Linked DNA regions of Canis lupus familiaris. The protein of the gene in region 2 interacts with the protein of the main gene of each other region in a pairwise test. Links are inferred from orthologs where the notes say so. Each region holds a gene or a part of one and is shown on either strand. Other genes may lie near its edges.

What was found. The genes of interacting proteins can lie anywhere in the genome.
Region 1: the proteins of CKM (region 2) and ASB9 interact in binary tests that used the Homo sapiens proteins (3 or more experiments, as listed by UniProt). The two-hybrid records come from large-scale screens. The link is inferred for Canis lupus familiaris from reciprocal best matches to the Homo sapiens genes CKM and ASB9.

What each region holds. Positions count from the first base shown.
Region 1 is NC_049260.1:11,573,097-11,580,523, reverse strand, and holds the start of ASB9 (ankyrin repeat and SOCS box protein 9), read left to right. Parts: upstream 1-2,756; 5' UTR 2,757-3,071; coding exon 3,072-3,162; intron 3,163-3,370; exon of another isoform or gene 3,371-3,385; coding exon of another isoform or gene 3,386-3,431; intron 3,432-7,427. UniProt on the Homo sapiens protein: Substrate-recognition component of a cullin-5-RING E3 ubiquitin-protein ligase complex (ECS complex, also named CRL5 complex), which mediates the ubiquitination and subsequent proteasomal degradation of target proteins.
Region 2 is NC_049222.1:110,917,571-110,924,999, forward strand, and holds the start of CKM (creatine kinase M-type), read left to right. Parts: upstream 1-2,970; 5' UTR 2,971-3,019; intron 3,020-3,961; exon of another isoform or gene 3,962-4,063; intron 4,064-5,229; 5' UTR 5,230-5,248; coding exon 5,249-5,441; intron 5,442-5,906; coding exon 5,907-6,061; intron 6,062-6,521; coding exon 6,522-6,654; intron 6,655-7,429. UniProt on the Homo sapiens protein: Reversibly catalyzes the transfer of phosphate between ATP and various phosphogens (e.g. creatine phosphate).

The DNA.
Region 1 (7,427 bases), on a different chromosome or scaffold from region 2:
GCTAGCTCAGCATGCAGAGCCGGTTATGCAAGAACAATAGAAACAGCTAGTTTTTTTTTGCAGGAAACGCAGATCATTCCGAATTATCAGAGGAGATGTGTACCTTTTGGGTTTTAAAGGTTTTGTGCTAGAAAAATTGCTGGCTGGAATGACAAGAGGTTTCTGCTCCTGGGCCAACTTTGACTGATTGGAGGTGACTTTCAAGGCTCTCCAAGGCCTGGGTTGGGGGAGGGAAGAGTCTCTGAACCCATGAGTGATGTCAGCCATGGACATCTAGGTGAGGGGTGCAGAGGCACTGGTGAGTGTTAAGACTGCACTTGATAAAGAATGATTGTGGCCTTACTGCTGCTTCAGGCCATAATTCTTTTTTCATACCTAACCTGGGCCAAGTTTCTGGAACAGGTGTGCGTGTGTGCACACGTACACATTGCGCACACACTGAGGACTGACTGGACGTTTCTAAGTTGTCCTTCTCTTGTTGTAAGCCAACCTATTCCTCTATAATCACAGCTCACGCACATGTAAATCAACTTTATCCTCATATAGACCCTTAAAAATGCATGACCTTCTCTCATAATGATTTTTGAATTCCTGATTGGAAGTGTGGTTAAACAGTTAAAAAAATCAATTCTCATCTTCCACTATTCACAAGAGGTGACTGACATTGTAAGCGTAGCGAGCAGGTTAAAAGCTGATTCGTTCCCTCCCAGGTACTAAGGCAAAAACCTGGAAATTTTCTTTCTTGTCATTTTGGACAATAAACTTAAATTTGAATATGGAAAAATGTTATCTTCTTGGAGTTTAATTAGAAGTAAATAAAGAAGCTGTACCATGAAGATTTCACTCAAAGAATGGCAATAATGCTCAGGATCCCCACTGTGCCTCTCTGTTTAACTCCTTGTCATCCAGTCGACATTGGGAATAAATTTCTCAGTCTCTGCCAAATACTAGTTTTATAGTTCTTCACATCTTTCCTGATGGAGTAGCGAACAACGTCTGTGCTTGTGGCCTGTTCAGTTAATTCTGCAAAGCACCGGAGGGCAATTTGGCAGTGTTTCTCTCGATCTTAAAGCAACAGCCCCTTTTTTCCCAAAATGAAATTTGTGTTGAGATATTTGGGGATTTGCATGCAGTTGTAAGCAGTGATACAGAGAGGTCTCCTGTAGCTTTGCCTGCTTTCCCCCAGCGACAGCTTTCTGCAAACCTGTAGTACAGTGGAGATCGACCCTGACACAAACCACTGATCTCATTCAGAATGCTCCAGTTTGGCTTGTACTCGCTTCTGTGTGTGTCTTTAGTTCTGTACAAATCATCTCGTATGTACAAGCACACCTCTGACCTGGCATTCCCACTCTTAGGAATCTCTTCTCCAGAAATATTTGCAGTTGTGCACAAAGCCACTTATATAAAAATATGGACTGCAGTATTTTTTTTTTTGTAGTAGCAAAAGAAATGGTAACATTCTGCCTCCATCATAGAGGAATAAGGAAAGGTTTTTGGCACAATAGGGAATGCTACACAGTAATGAATAAAGAAAGGGAGGGCTCTATATGCTAACATGGAAAGATCTCTAAGATGAAGTAAGTGTAAGAGGCCTAGAACAATATGGTAATATAATGACATTTATGTGAAGAATGTAAAGGGATAAACGTGCACGCATATGTCTGCACAGAAACGCATTTTTATTTATTTTTTTTAGATGGTGTTTTTTTTTAATTTTTTTATTTATTTATGATAGTCACACAGAGAGAGAGGGAGAGGCAGAGACACAGGCAGAGGGAGAAGCAGGCTCCATGCACCGGGAGCCCGACGTGGGATTCGATCCTGGGTCTCCAGGATCGTGCCCTGGGCCAAAGGCAGGCGCTAAACCGCTGCGCCACCCAGGGATCCCTAGAAACGCATTTTAAAACAGGAAGGACACTACCTCAGCCTGTTAACAGTGGCCGCCATGCGTTTCAGTGGAGGATCCTTAAGTCTGAAACAGTGAGGCTACCTCTGGCATTAAAAAAAAATCCGCAGTCATTTCACAGACTGTGCTTAAGACGAACTCAGAGCCTTCCCTAACTGGGAAGAAAAATGCCCTTCCACCTGGAAGAGAGGCACAGTGGGAGCCTAGGGTTGGCCATCAGCCTGAAGTGGCACCCAGGGGTGTGGGGAAACTGAGTCCACCTGGAAAGACACACGGACAAGGACCCACTGTTTTGTAAAGGCAAATAGGCGGAACCTTCCCAGGGTAAAACTTCTTACAACGAATAAAGTAGCAAGTTCCTTCCACACCCCAGCCCCCCCAGCAATCCATTTTCCAATAGCAACCATTAATTATTTATTTAGGAGTTACAATACAATGTGGGGAGGAAAGGCAAAGCCGGACACGCAGTGAAATCCTTGAAGTCAGAGGTAGGAAAATAGCAGTTCTTTCCAAAGGGACATTTTTGTTGCATATAGACACATTTTCCCATAAGAAACTCCCAGAAAAATTGAAACCACATGTGCAGATGGCCAGGGCGTGCTGTGCATGTTGCTGTGCAAGCAGTTCAGCCGGGCTGCAGCAAAACCAGCTTTCTCAGCTCGTGGGTTCTGGGGCTTTCTCAACAATGAGGAGCCCCCAAAGAACAAGCAGATCCCCGCAGAGGCAACAACGTTGCAGCGGGGCGTGGTTTCCTCCCCCCACCCTGTTCCCTTTGCTCTCCAAAAGTTACAAACTGGCTTTCCTTCCTGATAAACCAAGGCTTCCTCACTGATTGGTCTCAGTTTGGGAAAGGACGTGACATCAGCAACTTTGCCGACTTGGGGCTGGGGGGCCCGCTGTGGGCTTTGGCCGACCTCCAGCCGGCTAGGTGGAGCGTGTGCGTGCGTGTGTGTGTGCGCGCGTGTGTGCCTGGGCGCGCGTCCGTCTGACCACAGGTAGTGCTCGGATTACCCTGCCCATTCTGTGCTCTGCTGTTCTCTACCGTCTGAGCAGGACGGTGCGGCCGAGGCTCCGGAATTCCCAGCAGCAGAAAGAACATGGAATTTGGACTTTCCTGAGCAATTGAAGTGGAACACGGAGGTTGCCCGGCTCCGGGGGCACCATGGACGGCAAGCCTCCAGGCGGGACCAGCAAGTCTCTGAGGCCGGGAGGCCCGCCCGACACCAGGCTCCTTTCCAACCCGTGGATGGGGGGTGAGTCCAGGGGCCGTGGGACCAGAGCGCGGGGAGGCTGGCTAGCGGGCTTCGAGAGGAGAGGGCGGGGTGGCTCCGGTGGCCCCGCTGGGGTGTGTCCCCGGCTTGTCAGCCAGACATCCTCCGCTCGGATCAGGGGGTACACCTCCTCTGCGGAGTCCTGGACACCATCCGAGGCCAAGTGGCACAGTTTATTCACCGGTAAAAACTTCAGCTCCGAAGAATGATCCTTTGTGGGCCAGATGGAGCCCGTATATCACATCGGAGGGGTAAAACTTCTAATAGGGTATTTTTACTGCCGAGACATTTATCAAAAGGTCTCAGGTATTTGGCATTTAGGCGGGGCTGGGTTTATAAGTGATGTCCCAACACTGAGCGCTGATCGATTCACTGTAAAAGGAGACTTTTTCTTTCTTTCTTTTTTTTTAAACTTCAGAGAAGCATCTTACAGGCGTAATTCTCACCGGTCGGGTGGTGTCTTTGCTAACTGTAGAGTCTCGTGCCTCTGGGCAACTGTCATTTTTTGGTGAGCATCCAGCAGGTGCCTGCTGACTGAAAGGACTGTAAAATGGGTCTGAGCATGAGGCTTCAGATTCATATTGTTAGCAAGGCTGCCCACGACACGGGTCTATCAAAGGGGCAGTATGCAGGGACCCAGCAGTCAGGTAGGACTCACTACTCTCCTGTGGCACAGCTGCTGAAAGGGAAAACAACAGAAGATACAAAATACCACATGCCTTCCCTCCGACTAACTGAGCAGACAGGACTGCTCATCCATTCATTCACTATCCAGTTTTGCTTCTAAAAGGAGCAGGGCACTCGACAGATAGGATCTGGATCCCCGAAGGCAGAACTGGATTAATCAGATTTTTTGAGCACAAGCTTGGAGTAGTAGAAAGCAGCGTGGCACCAAAAATTACTTTTAAAAAAATGAATGCGATAAATGTATCATTAAAGCAGCAAATTATATTTCCAAGTTCAAGTGGGAAAGAATCAGTAACCTGGATGAGTTCCACATGATTATTTTACACCTAAGTATTGTTTATTTTTATTTCCACTCGTGGGAGGGGGGCGGCCACTTTTCTCTGATTACGGTTTCTAAAGGTCCTAATCCAACTCCATGTGGGGCAGGATGGGTGAGTGGGGGTGGACAGGTGTCCATATGCTAAAGGGTATGGTGCTTCGAAACTGAACACATTGTCACAACTAGAATGCAGAGTCTTAGGGAATCTGCTGAGGACAAGTTTGGAGAGCTCGAACTCAATAACAGAGCTGCAAAGGCTCGGTGGAGTTAAGCCTTCATAAAGCAGGGAATTGGGAGCCATCGATGGTTCTGGAGTGGAGACCTGGCAGTAAGGAAGACTGTAAGTAAATGAATCTGGTGGCCATGTTCAGGATGGATTGTGGGATTACGGGAAATTCTTGCACGAATGCCCAGGTTCTCCAACTCTCTCATGTGTTGGTGTCACCCAGAGGGTTTGCTCACATGCAGATGACTGGGCCCCACCCCCCAGAGCTTCTGATGCTCTTGTAGGCCTGGGTGGAGCCTGGGCATATGCATTCCTAATAGGCTCCCGAGTGATGCTGGTGGTGTTGTTTGGGGCTTTGAGAACCAGGCACTCACTATCTAAGCATGGGGCTTACATTTGGATCGAGCTTTGGAAATGACAGAGGAAGGGGAAACAAGGGTGACAGTTTCAAAGGAAAGAGCAATCAGGCTATGCTGCTTGATTAAATATCGGGACTAAAGGAGGGAAGGCAGCTGAAACTGTAAAGTTTTTAAGCTTAAATGAATGGCAGCCAAGGGGGTTGGGAAGCCGAGACCTCTGAGTGTTCTGCGGGGGCTGTGCTGAAATCCTGGGAAAGGAGAGCTTGTCTGATGGCCCAGAGCAGAGAGCCATGGATGGAGCCCCGGGCCAGGCCTGCAGCTGAGCATGCAAGACCGGTGAGTTAGAGAAGCAGAAAGAGATTTGGGTGTTGTCATTTCCCAGGAACTAAAGGATGAGAAGTTTCCAAAGAAGCAGAATCACACGGGCAGATGGCAGGACACCTCGGCTCTCCTGCCTCCTTGTCCTCTGCACCTGACTGGCCAAGTCCCCCTCACCTTCTGCACCCGGCCCAGCCGCTGCCACCACGAAGCCCTCCCAGACTCTCTGCCGCTCCCTTCCTGAGTGGGGTCCAGCTCCCACTGCTTTGCGTCAGCCCTGCCCCTCGGGCGCAGCCTCAGTTCTGGCCCAGTTGCATTTGTTTATGCTTCTAAAGTCCTGACCTTGGTGAGGTGTGGAATGTGGGCCCCTCCGGAGCGCTATTTCCGCAGGGCCATGCCGGGGCACAGCTCAGGTGAAGCGTATCCCCTGGCACAGGGCCAGGTCAGAGGTTAACCAGGGCCCAGGTGTGCTTCCTCTTGGGGAACGTGGCTGCTCCCTTTCTCACTTGCAGGTCTTTCTCCGCCTCCTCTGGACGAAGGGAGGAAAGGACGTGCAGATGGCAACCAGCTCTTCAGAGAGATTTGTTCAATGATTCAGTCCTCTGCCAGGAGCCCCCCCCCGCCCCCCCAAAAAATGTCTTTTTCTTTCCCTGAAAATACCATGTTATGGGTTGAATTGTGCCTCCCCAAAAGATACGTGGGAGCCCCCACCCCCAGTACCTCAGAACGTGTCCTTGTTTGGAAATGGGGCTGTTGGAGGTGTCATCAGTTCAGGTGAGGTGATACTGGAGTCCGGCGGGCCCTAATTCAATGACTCGTGTCCTTAGAAGAGGGGAGACAGGGAGAAGGCCTTGTGGCAGCAGAGGCAGAGATTGGGGTGACACGTCTAACAAGCCAAAAAGCCCCAGCAGCGCTGGACGGCTACCACCTGAAGCTAGAAGAGGCAAAGAAGGAAGGATTCTTCCCTGGAGCCTCTGGAGAGAGCATGGCCCTGATGACGCTGTCGTGTCTGACTTCTCACCTTCAGAACAAGATGGCAAGGAATAGATAGTTGAGGCCCACTTGGTCATGGCGGCTCTAGGGAGCCCATTCGTACCTATTCATAGAGACTTTGGAAGAATACACGGAGGCAGAGACTAAACACCACCCAGAAGCCCCTGAGCAGGTGTTTGTAGAGAAATTGCTTTCCTCAGGAGATTGAGGCCACCCTGTAGACAGTGGGCTCCCATCGAAGACAGGTGCAAGCAGGCATGGAAGGGCCGCAGTCCCCCACTCTCGTGGATTTTTAGATCCCAGGGTGAGGGTTTCTGTGGGGACACCTGCCTGCTCAGACAGAAGGGGTGATCTCTGAGGTCCCCGTGGAGAAAGCAGCCTGAGAGTGAGCCAGACAGAGAGCGAGAAAGAAGACGCTGGGCGTTGGGACTGGAGAGAGAATGACAGTGGGCAGGTCTGACTGGCCCACCAGCTGCCTCAGTGGGCCTTTCTGTTTCCGGTTTCTGACCACGAGCCTCTGTCTCTGTTCCTCCTCTTTTTGTTTGTCCTGGAACCCAACCAGGGTGCATCGGATTTGTAAACACAGCGCCCAGATCGTGGGCAGTGTTGGCGCCCAGCGCCGGGCCTCCCTTACCACATCCCAGAGGCCGAAGGCAGCCGCCCCCGCCGCCTCGGGCCCACTCAGCCTCCCTCTCTGCCCCTTGACCTCGCAAAATGTTTCTCAGGATGGAGATAGATCTATGCCACTGCCTCAGAGCTTCGTTAGTAGCTCTTTTATATATATATATATATAGTAGCTCTTTTCAGAATGTACCAATTAGCGCCTTTAAAATCCCTTCTGAAATAATGGAATTAAAAAAAAATCATTCCAGAATGCAATAAAAGTGAAATAAATGACAGACTTCCTAATGCACTGCGGGGTTGGATGGAGACTCGATCTAAAAGAAAGGTAGGTTTAATGGCACTAATTGGAGGCCTGGTGGGGCGGGTTAGGAGAGCTGCACTAGGGCATCCGTGGCGTTGCCGGAGACCCCAGTGGGCATCTCTTTTCTGGCAGTAAAACCAGTAGGCCCCGGCTGGGCGAGTGCAGGGGAAATCCTTAGCACATACTCAGGGCCTGGACGGTGTCTTGTGTGCAGATAATGGTCCTGAAGTTTCAAAGTCGGTGGTGGGGTCAGTGGAAGAGGGGATGGTGACCTCGAGTCACCTCTCCACCCAGTCCCCTACTGTGAGCATTTCCGTGTTCCGGAGGCAGCAGGTCCCCTTTGCCCTGTGTGCTCTCTTAGCAGGAAGGCAGGCAGAGCCGCTTCTGGGCTTAATTGCACATGTCGTCTGTAGCTCATTG
Region 2 (7,429 bases):
ACATCCATGCTAACCTCTTTCTGGCATGTTCAACTTTCCAAATGGAGCATGGTTCTGGGGGTGAGAGATGTTCCTAGTGGCTCAGCCCAGAGTGTGCTCCTTCAATCCTTTCAATTATTTTGAAAGATCCTAATATCTGGGGTGAGGCCCTTTCTGCATAAACTGGGGAGAGTAGTTTCCAATCGACTGAAAAGGCTACTATTATTTCCTTAGTCAACAAATACTCATTTATCCTGAGGGCGCTGGGAAGCCACGGTGGGTTCTAAGCAGGGGTAGTCAGAAGGCAGGGACGAGGTGGGAGGGGACAGACTGGGGCTGACCTGGGGGGAGGCTAGGGTGGAAGGGAATGTGGAGAGGTCTGGAGCTAGGGTAGGAGGAAGGATGGACGGGCCTTGGAGACTGACAGGCTTTGGAGGGTTGGGGGTTGGGGTAAAGGTACACCATGGGGGTCTTGGCTCCCCAAAGCCAACTATTTCTATGAGACTCAAAGAAGATAAAGGAGTAGAGGGATCCCTGGGTGGCGCAGCGGTTTGGCGCCTGCCTTTGGCCCAGGGCGCGATCCTGGAGACCCGGGATCGAATCCCACATCGGGCTCCCGGTGCATGGAGCCTGCTTCTCCCTCTGCCTGTGTCTCTGCCTCTCTCTCTCTCACTGTGTGCCTATCATAAATAAATAAAAAAAAAAATTAAAAAAAAAAAAAAAAAGGAGTAGAGTTCATGACTGAAGTGTTGGGGGGGGTGTGTCCCTCAGCCGGGTCACATGACTAGAACGTTGCTGCAAAGGATTCTGGGAAACTGAGTTTCTGACCTTTTAGGCTTCTCTAAAGGAGGCTGTTATAGGGTGGGAAACTCTCCAAACACAGAAAGGGCTGTATGGCCAAATGGAATGTCAAATGTGCCAGTAAGTGGCTACTAGGGCTCCAGGGTGGGGGTGGGGGCTGGGCTGGATCCTGTGTGTGCATGTGATGTGGCTGGATCGTGTCTCTCCCCTGCTCACAGCCCTCAGTGGCTCCCATCCATCCACGGTGGGATGGAAACTCCTCCATGGCCCCTAGGGTCCTACAGGTCTGCTTCTATCTCTCATCTTCTTCTTTCCACTCTCCCCTCTGGCCCATCTGCTCCAGTCCTCTGGCCTCTTCCTGTCTCTCAGATATGCCAAGCCACTCCTACCTCAGGCCCTTTGCACCTGCTGTTCCCCTTCCAGATCCTCACATGGCTGGCTCTCACCTCTCCCTCAGGTCTCTGCTCAGATGTCACTTCCCCCTAGAGGCCTGACCTGACCTCCCCTGCTGTGCCATCACTCTGACCCTTTACTCTCTTTGATTTCCTGTCAAAGCCCTGTTGTCCCTGCCATGACAGCATATACTTACTTGTTCATGCTCACTACAATGTCACCTCCATGAGACCAACGGTTTTGTTGTTTTCTGCTGTGTCCCCCATAAGTGCTTAATAAAGAATTGTTGGGGCACCTGCGTGGCTCAGTCAGTTAAGCCTCTGCCTTTGGCTCAGGTTGTGAGTCCAGGGTCCTGGGATGGAGCCCAGGGCTCCCTGCCCACTGGGAAGTCTGCTTCTCCCTCCCCTCGACCCCTCCTCCTGAACATCATGCTCTCTCTCTAATAAATAAAATCTTAAAAAAAATTGTTGACATGATACATGCCTTCCTATTCTAGTCTGGTTCCTTTTAGTTCTCTGGGCCTGGAACAAGAACTTTGTCACTCTGACCTTGGTGGGAAGGGACAGTGGGTGGAGAGATCAGGGGCTAAGCCCCAAGGTAAAGTTTTCTAAGCGCCCCCTCCCCACCAGGAATCTGGGGAAAAGACAAAGAGGGGCCCCTTTCCCTAGATCAGACCCCTCCTGCCTGGGAAGAAACCCGGGAGACCCGGGAGGAGGGAGGAACCCCGGAGGGCAAACGAAGGTGTCTTCTTGGTTGTAATCCAGGGCGCTCCCTGGACTTGTGCTACAATCGGGAAGGACTGCGCTCCCCAACCCTGGAGGTCCCCGTGGGCGGGGAGCTCCTGCTCCGTGGGGATCTGCAGGCCTGTGAGTCCGGGGTGCCCAGCCCCCTTCCCCTGCGGGGCGGTCAGGCGGCTGCCCTTGTAAGGAGGCGAGCCCGGGACACCCGACACGCGGTTATAATTAACCCAGACACGTGGCGATCCCACCCCCCCAACACCTGTCCCTGCCTCCCCCCAGCCCCAGCGCCTCGGGTCTAGGTCTCTGCAAAGGCGACATCGAAGCGCCCTCTAAAAATAAGCTCCTCTCCGGGGTGAGTCCCTCTCTGTCCCCTCCGCCGCTGAAGCGTCCCAGGGTCAGCCGCAGGGACTGGAGTTTGAATCTTCTCAGCTCAGGCAAGACTCAGTTTCCCTCCCACTCACTCACAAGGAGGAAAGTGCGTCCAAACATGGATTTCTGGGGTCAGGCAGTTCTGCCTTCAGACCTGGGCCTTGGCCAAGGGTTCCCCATAGTTGGGTGACAACAGGCAAGTGTCTGGAATACCAGATACCTGGCTCTCGTGGGACTGTTGCAAGGTTTTCCCTGGGGCCCGTCTCAAGACCTAACTTTTACCCAGGTCAAGGCCACTGGGGGCTGAGGAGAGGCCGGGCCATAGGAGGGGCTGGAGGGCCAGGGGAGGGTGGCTTCTACGTGCTTGGGACGTCCCCTGGCATGGTCTCGTGTCCTGGGCAGGGGGCCAGCTGTCCTTGCCAGCCCGACTCAGCACTTGGTCGGGGAATCAGCTTGATGGGGGGCGGGTGGGGATCTGGGCTCAGTCCCTGGGGCGGCCCATACAAGGCCTGATAGGGCTGGGCGCAAGGCGTGCCTGGGCTCAGGGTGGGCACCGTGCCCGGGCAGTGAGCTGGAAGGCTCAGCTGCCTGCCCTCCAGCTCCCTTCCCTGGGGGCAGCCCCTCCCAGCCAATAGCACAGCCCGGCCCCCCTATATAAGGCCTGGGCTGCGGGCCCTTCCTTTGGGTCAGTGTCACCTCCAGGATACAGACAGCCCCTTTCTGCACAGCCCAGCCAGGTACTGATGGGGGTGGGAATCAGGGTGGGGTCCAGACCAGGCCAAAGTGTCGGGGGGTGCATGGCACCAGCAGCCGATCTGGTCTCAGGAGCCTACCCCATATCCTTCTACACAGAGGAGGGTCAGTGTGTGGGAAGGTTGACCCCGTGTCTGGGAGTCCCCTCCACCTGTGAGCCCCCCTGCCTCCCACAGGGTCTGTGGCACAGGGTCACGGGAAGGGATCTTGGAGACAAAAGGAGTTCTGACAGCTGCCAGCTGTCCCCCCTGCAAGGGGCTACAGGCTGGGCCCATGTTCATGATGGTTTGTCACCAGAACTGGGCGCCACAAGCCGTGGGAGGTGTCTGTATGTCAACTGTCGTGGTTTGCAAGAGCAAGCACTGTGGGTTCATTGCACTTGCAATTCTGTGGGTCCCTGTTGCATCCCACAATGGTGTGACCTTGTGTCTGACTTTCTGTAGCTCCTGCATGGGTGCCTGTATGTTGGGTGTGTCCCTGAGCTTGGAGGGATGTGTGTGTGACTCTGTTTACTGTGTGATCTGGGGGTTATGGGGATGTGTGTGTGGGTGTGTGTGTGTGCTTGTGTGTGGCTCTGGGGCTCCCCCCACCTTGCCTCAATGCCCTCTGCTAACATGTTCCTCGCAGGGTGGGGTGGGACACCCTGAAGTGGGGGGCGGTTCTGGGCTGGAAGCCCTGGAGCCCCGAGGCCTGGATGCGTGTCCTCCTAGCCACCCTGGCCCACCTGTCTCCGGCCTGCTGACTTGGTGCAAGTGGAGCCCCTGGAATGTGGGGGGTTGGTGGGGGAGGAGCAGTCTGCCAGATTCTATAAATAATCCCCAACCCTGGATAGTAGCTCCAAGGATCTTTCGTGAATTCCATCCGCTCCTGGCCTGATGCCTCAGCCTTCAGCTCGCCTGGTCCCGATTCCCTTCCCACCGTCCTACCTGCTTCCCATCCCTGGGGCCGCGGAGTGAGCTCCCACGCCGACCACCACCACCTCCTTCCTGGGTCCAGTAACGGCAGCCACCCCCTACGGAGCAGGCCCCAACTCCATGTGAGGGCACGTGCTCAGCCGGCCACGTGCCTGAGCCAGAAGAATCTTCTTGGCAATCCCTTAGGCCAGGCTCAGTTCACAGGCGACAGAGGCTCAGAGAGGCTGAGCACCTGGCTTGGGGTCACACAGCAAGGGAAATGGTAGAGGCAGGATTTGAACCCAGCTCTGCTGACTTCAGCTGCTGGGCTTTTCTTCTCAACTGAGCCCTGCAGGAGAGTGGTCAGCAAACAGAGGTGGGGACGGCCACGCAGCCTTCCCTTCCACCCTCCCCCTCATCCCTTGACCGAGCACCCGGGACCCTTCGTGGAGAGAGTGTCCCTTCCCTGCTTGCACATATGTTCCCAGCAACGCCCTCCACCTTCTCCCCGGCTCCTTACCCAGACTTTTAAAGTAATAGCGACGAAAATTATAATAATAGCTAAGCAAAATACAGCTTATCGTGTGCCAAGCGCTTTACATACATGAACTCCTTGAAGCGCCCCCGGAGATGAGGGTTACTATGACCCCCTTTGTACATACGAGTAATCTGAGGCACAGAGAGGTTAAGCAAGGTGCCCAAGGTCACACAGCTTACTGTATGTGACAGAGCTGGAATTCAAACCCAGGCTATCTGATTCCAGAATCTACACTCTTATCCATGCCAATATTACTGCTCCATCCCAAAGGCTTCCCCCTTCATCATTCAGCTGGAGAAGCTGTCCCTAGCAAGGTGACTCGTCTGGGGTCACCCATCAGGGTGTAGCAGAGCTGGGATCTTAACCACAGAGTCCTGATGCATCCTGTCAAGACACAGGGGCTCAGAGAGGGGCCCCTCTTGTTCCAAGTCACACAGCATATGAGTCAGGACTGGCCATCAGGGCAGCCCAGGTGGCTCATCGGTTTAGTGCCGCCTTCGGCCCAGGGCCCGATCCTGGAGTCCCGGGATGAAGTCCCATGTCCGGTTCCCTGCATGGAGCCTGCTTCTCTCTCTGCCTGTGCCTGTGCCTCTCTCTCTCTCTCTGTCTCTCATGAATAAATAAATAAAATCTTCTAAAAAATATTTAAAAAAAAAAAAGGACTGGCCATCAGGTCTTTCTGACCCCAACACCTTGTCCTGGTCCCTTGCTGGTCTCTGCTGGATGCGGGATAACCTTCTTCGCCCCCCGCCCCACCCCCCAGGCCCCCCCACGCCGCCACCATGCCGTTCGGTAACACCCACAACAAGTTCAAGCTGAACTACAAGCCTGAGGAGGAGTACCCTGACCTCACCAAGCACAACAACCATATGGCCAAAGCGCTGACCCCTGAAATCTATAAGAAGCTGCGGGACAAGGAGACCCCATCCGGCTTTACTCTGGACGATGTCATCCAGACAGGTGTGGACAACCCAGGTAAGCCTCCTTGGTGGAGCACGGACAGGGGCTTGGATGGGCGGGCGGGGCTGCCTGCCGGGGACTCTGTTTCCCCATCTGGGAAGATGAGGATCTTTCAAGCCTCTTAGGATCTGTGGGAGCTGAGAATCTAATATATTTCGAAAATTTTTCAGGGAAGAAAGAGTCCGTGATCTGGGGGCTCTCAAGTAGTAATATTTTTAGGACCTTGTAACTGACCCCCGGAGACTCTTTCTCCTTTGCCCAGATGCCACCTGGACCTTTCCCAGCCTTCCCTCCCCATACTCACAACCTTCAGTCTCTGCAGCTCCGACTCAGGTCTCGAATAAACCCCTGCTGACCACACACGCACACACACACGCACTCACACATGTGTGCATGTGCACATACAGTTTCTATAGGACCAAGGAGCCTGGGTCTTCCTTGCTGGGCACAAGCGCCTCTGACCTTACCCCAAATCCCCAGGTCACCCTTTCATCATGACCGTGGGCTGTGTGGCCGGTGACGAGGAGTCCTACCAGGTGTTCAAGGATCTCTTCGACCCCATCATCCAGGACCGGCATGGGGGTTACAAACCCACCGACAAGCACAAGACTGACCTCAACCATGAGAACCTCAAGGTCAGCTGCCCACAGGGGAGGGGAGGGATGGGGAAGAGAGGGAGGATGACGGAGGTGGGAAGGGATGCTCCAAGAGGCAGAGATGGAGGGCAGGAGGGACAGAGAGGCATGCAGGACAGACAGGGAGACCAGGACACAGCGGGGGAGACTCAGATGGGAGGAGAGACAGGGAAGAGATGAAGAGAAACCGGACGCGGGACAAAAATGGGACGGGGGAAAAGAGATGTATGGAGGAAAGGGGCAGATGAGAGGCTGGGAGAAATAGGGAGGGAGAGGCCGAGAAGGGAGAGGCCGAGCCAGGGTGGTGGTGGGAGAAGCCAGTGGGCAAGGAGGAGCCGAAGGAAGTAGCAGAGTCAGAACTGGGAGCCCTGGGTGGGGGGGCCAGGGAGGACATGGGCTTGCAGTGGAGGGGCGGCTTGTGGGGGCCGTGCCCAGCCCTGACCCCCCTCCTGCCCTCCAGGGTGGAGACGACCTAGACCCCAACTATGTGCTCAGCAGCCGCGTCCGCACGGGCCGTAGCATCAAGGGCTACACACTGCCCCCCCACTGCTCCCGGGGCGAGCGCCGGGCAGTGGAGAAACTCTCCATAGAAGGTGAGAACCCCACCCTGCCCACCACTGGGTAAATCGTGGGTGCTTGATGAGTGACAGCTGGCAGCATTACCCCTGCTGGAAGTCTGGGGGCGCTGTCAAGGAACCCTGAGCAGATCCATGCAGACTTTCAATTGCACCAGGGTCCTGACCTCCATCCATCCATCCATCCAACCAGCCAGCCAGCCAGCTAACCAGCGTTTACGGTTGTCATGGTCCTGAGTAGGGGGCCGGGGCTCCCATGATGAATAAGATGGACAAGGTCACTGTTTTCACAGAGCTGTCAGCCTGGTGGGGAGATAAGAAGAAACACAGAAACCAGCAAAAGAATGATTAATTCCAAAATGCCGTGTAGCCGAGAAACAAGGGTGCATCATAGAATGGCTGGGGGGAGCTCCCTGAGAAAGGAGGAGTTGATTGACAAAAAGGAGCCTGAAGATTTCCAGGCAGGTGGAGCAGCAAGTGCAAAGGTCCTGAGGTGGGGAAGTGTGTTGGAGGAAGAGCAAGGAGACCAGTGTGGCCAGAGCTGAGCAGACCAGGGGAGGAGATGCAGTCAGAGGAGTATGGGTGGCCTGCTTGTGCAGAGCCTTGTGGGCCATCAGGGGGGCTTTGGCTTTGACTCTGAACAGATGAAAGCCATGGGAGGATGGTGACTGGAGTAAGTTCAGACTTACATGGGCAGTTTCCTGGCTGTTGAATAGGGAACAGACTGTGGGCAAAGGTAGGAGCAGAGAGGCTGTAAGGGGCAACCACAATGGTGCAGGCGTGGGGTGAGGGA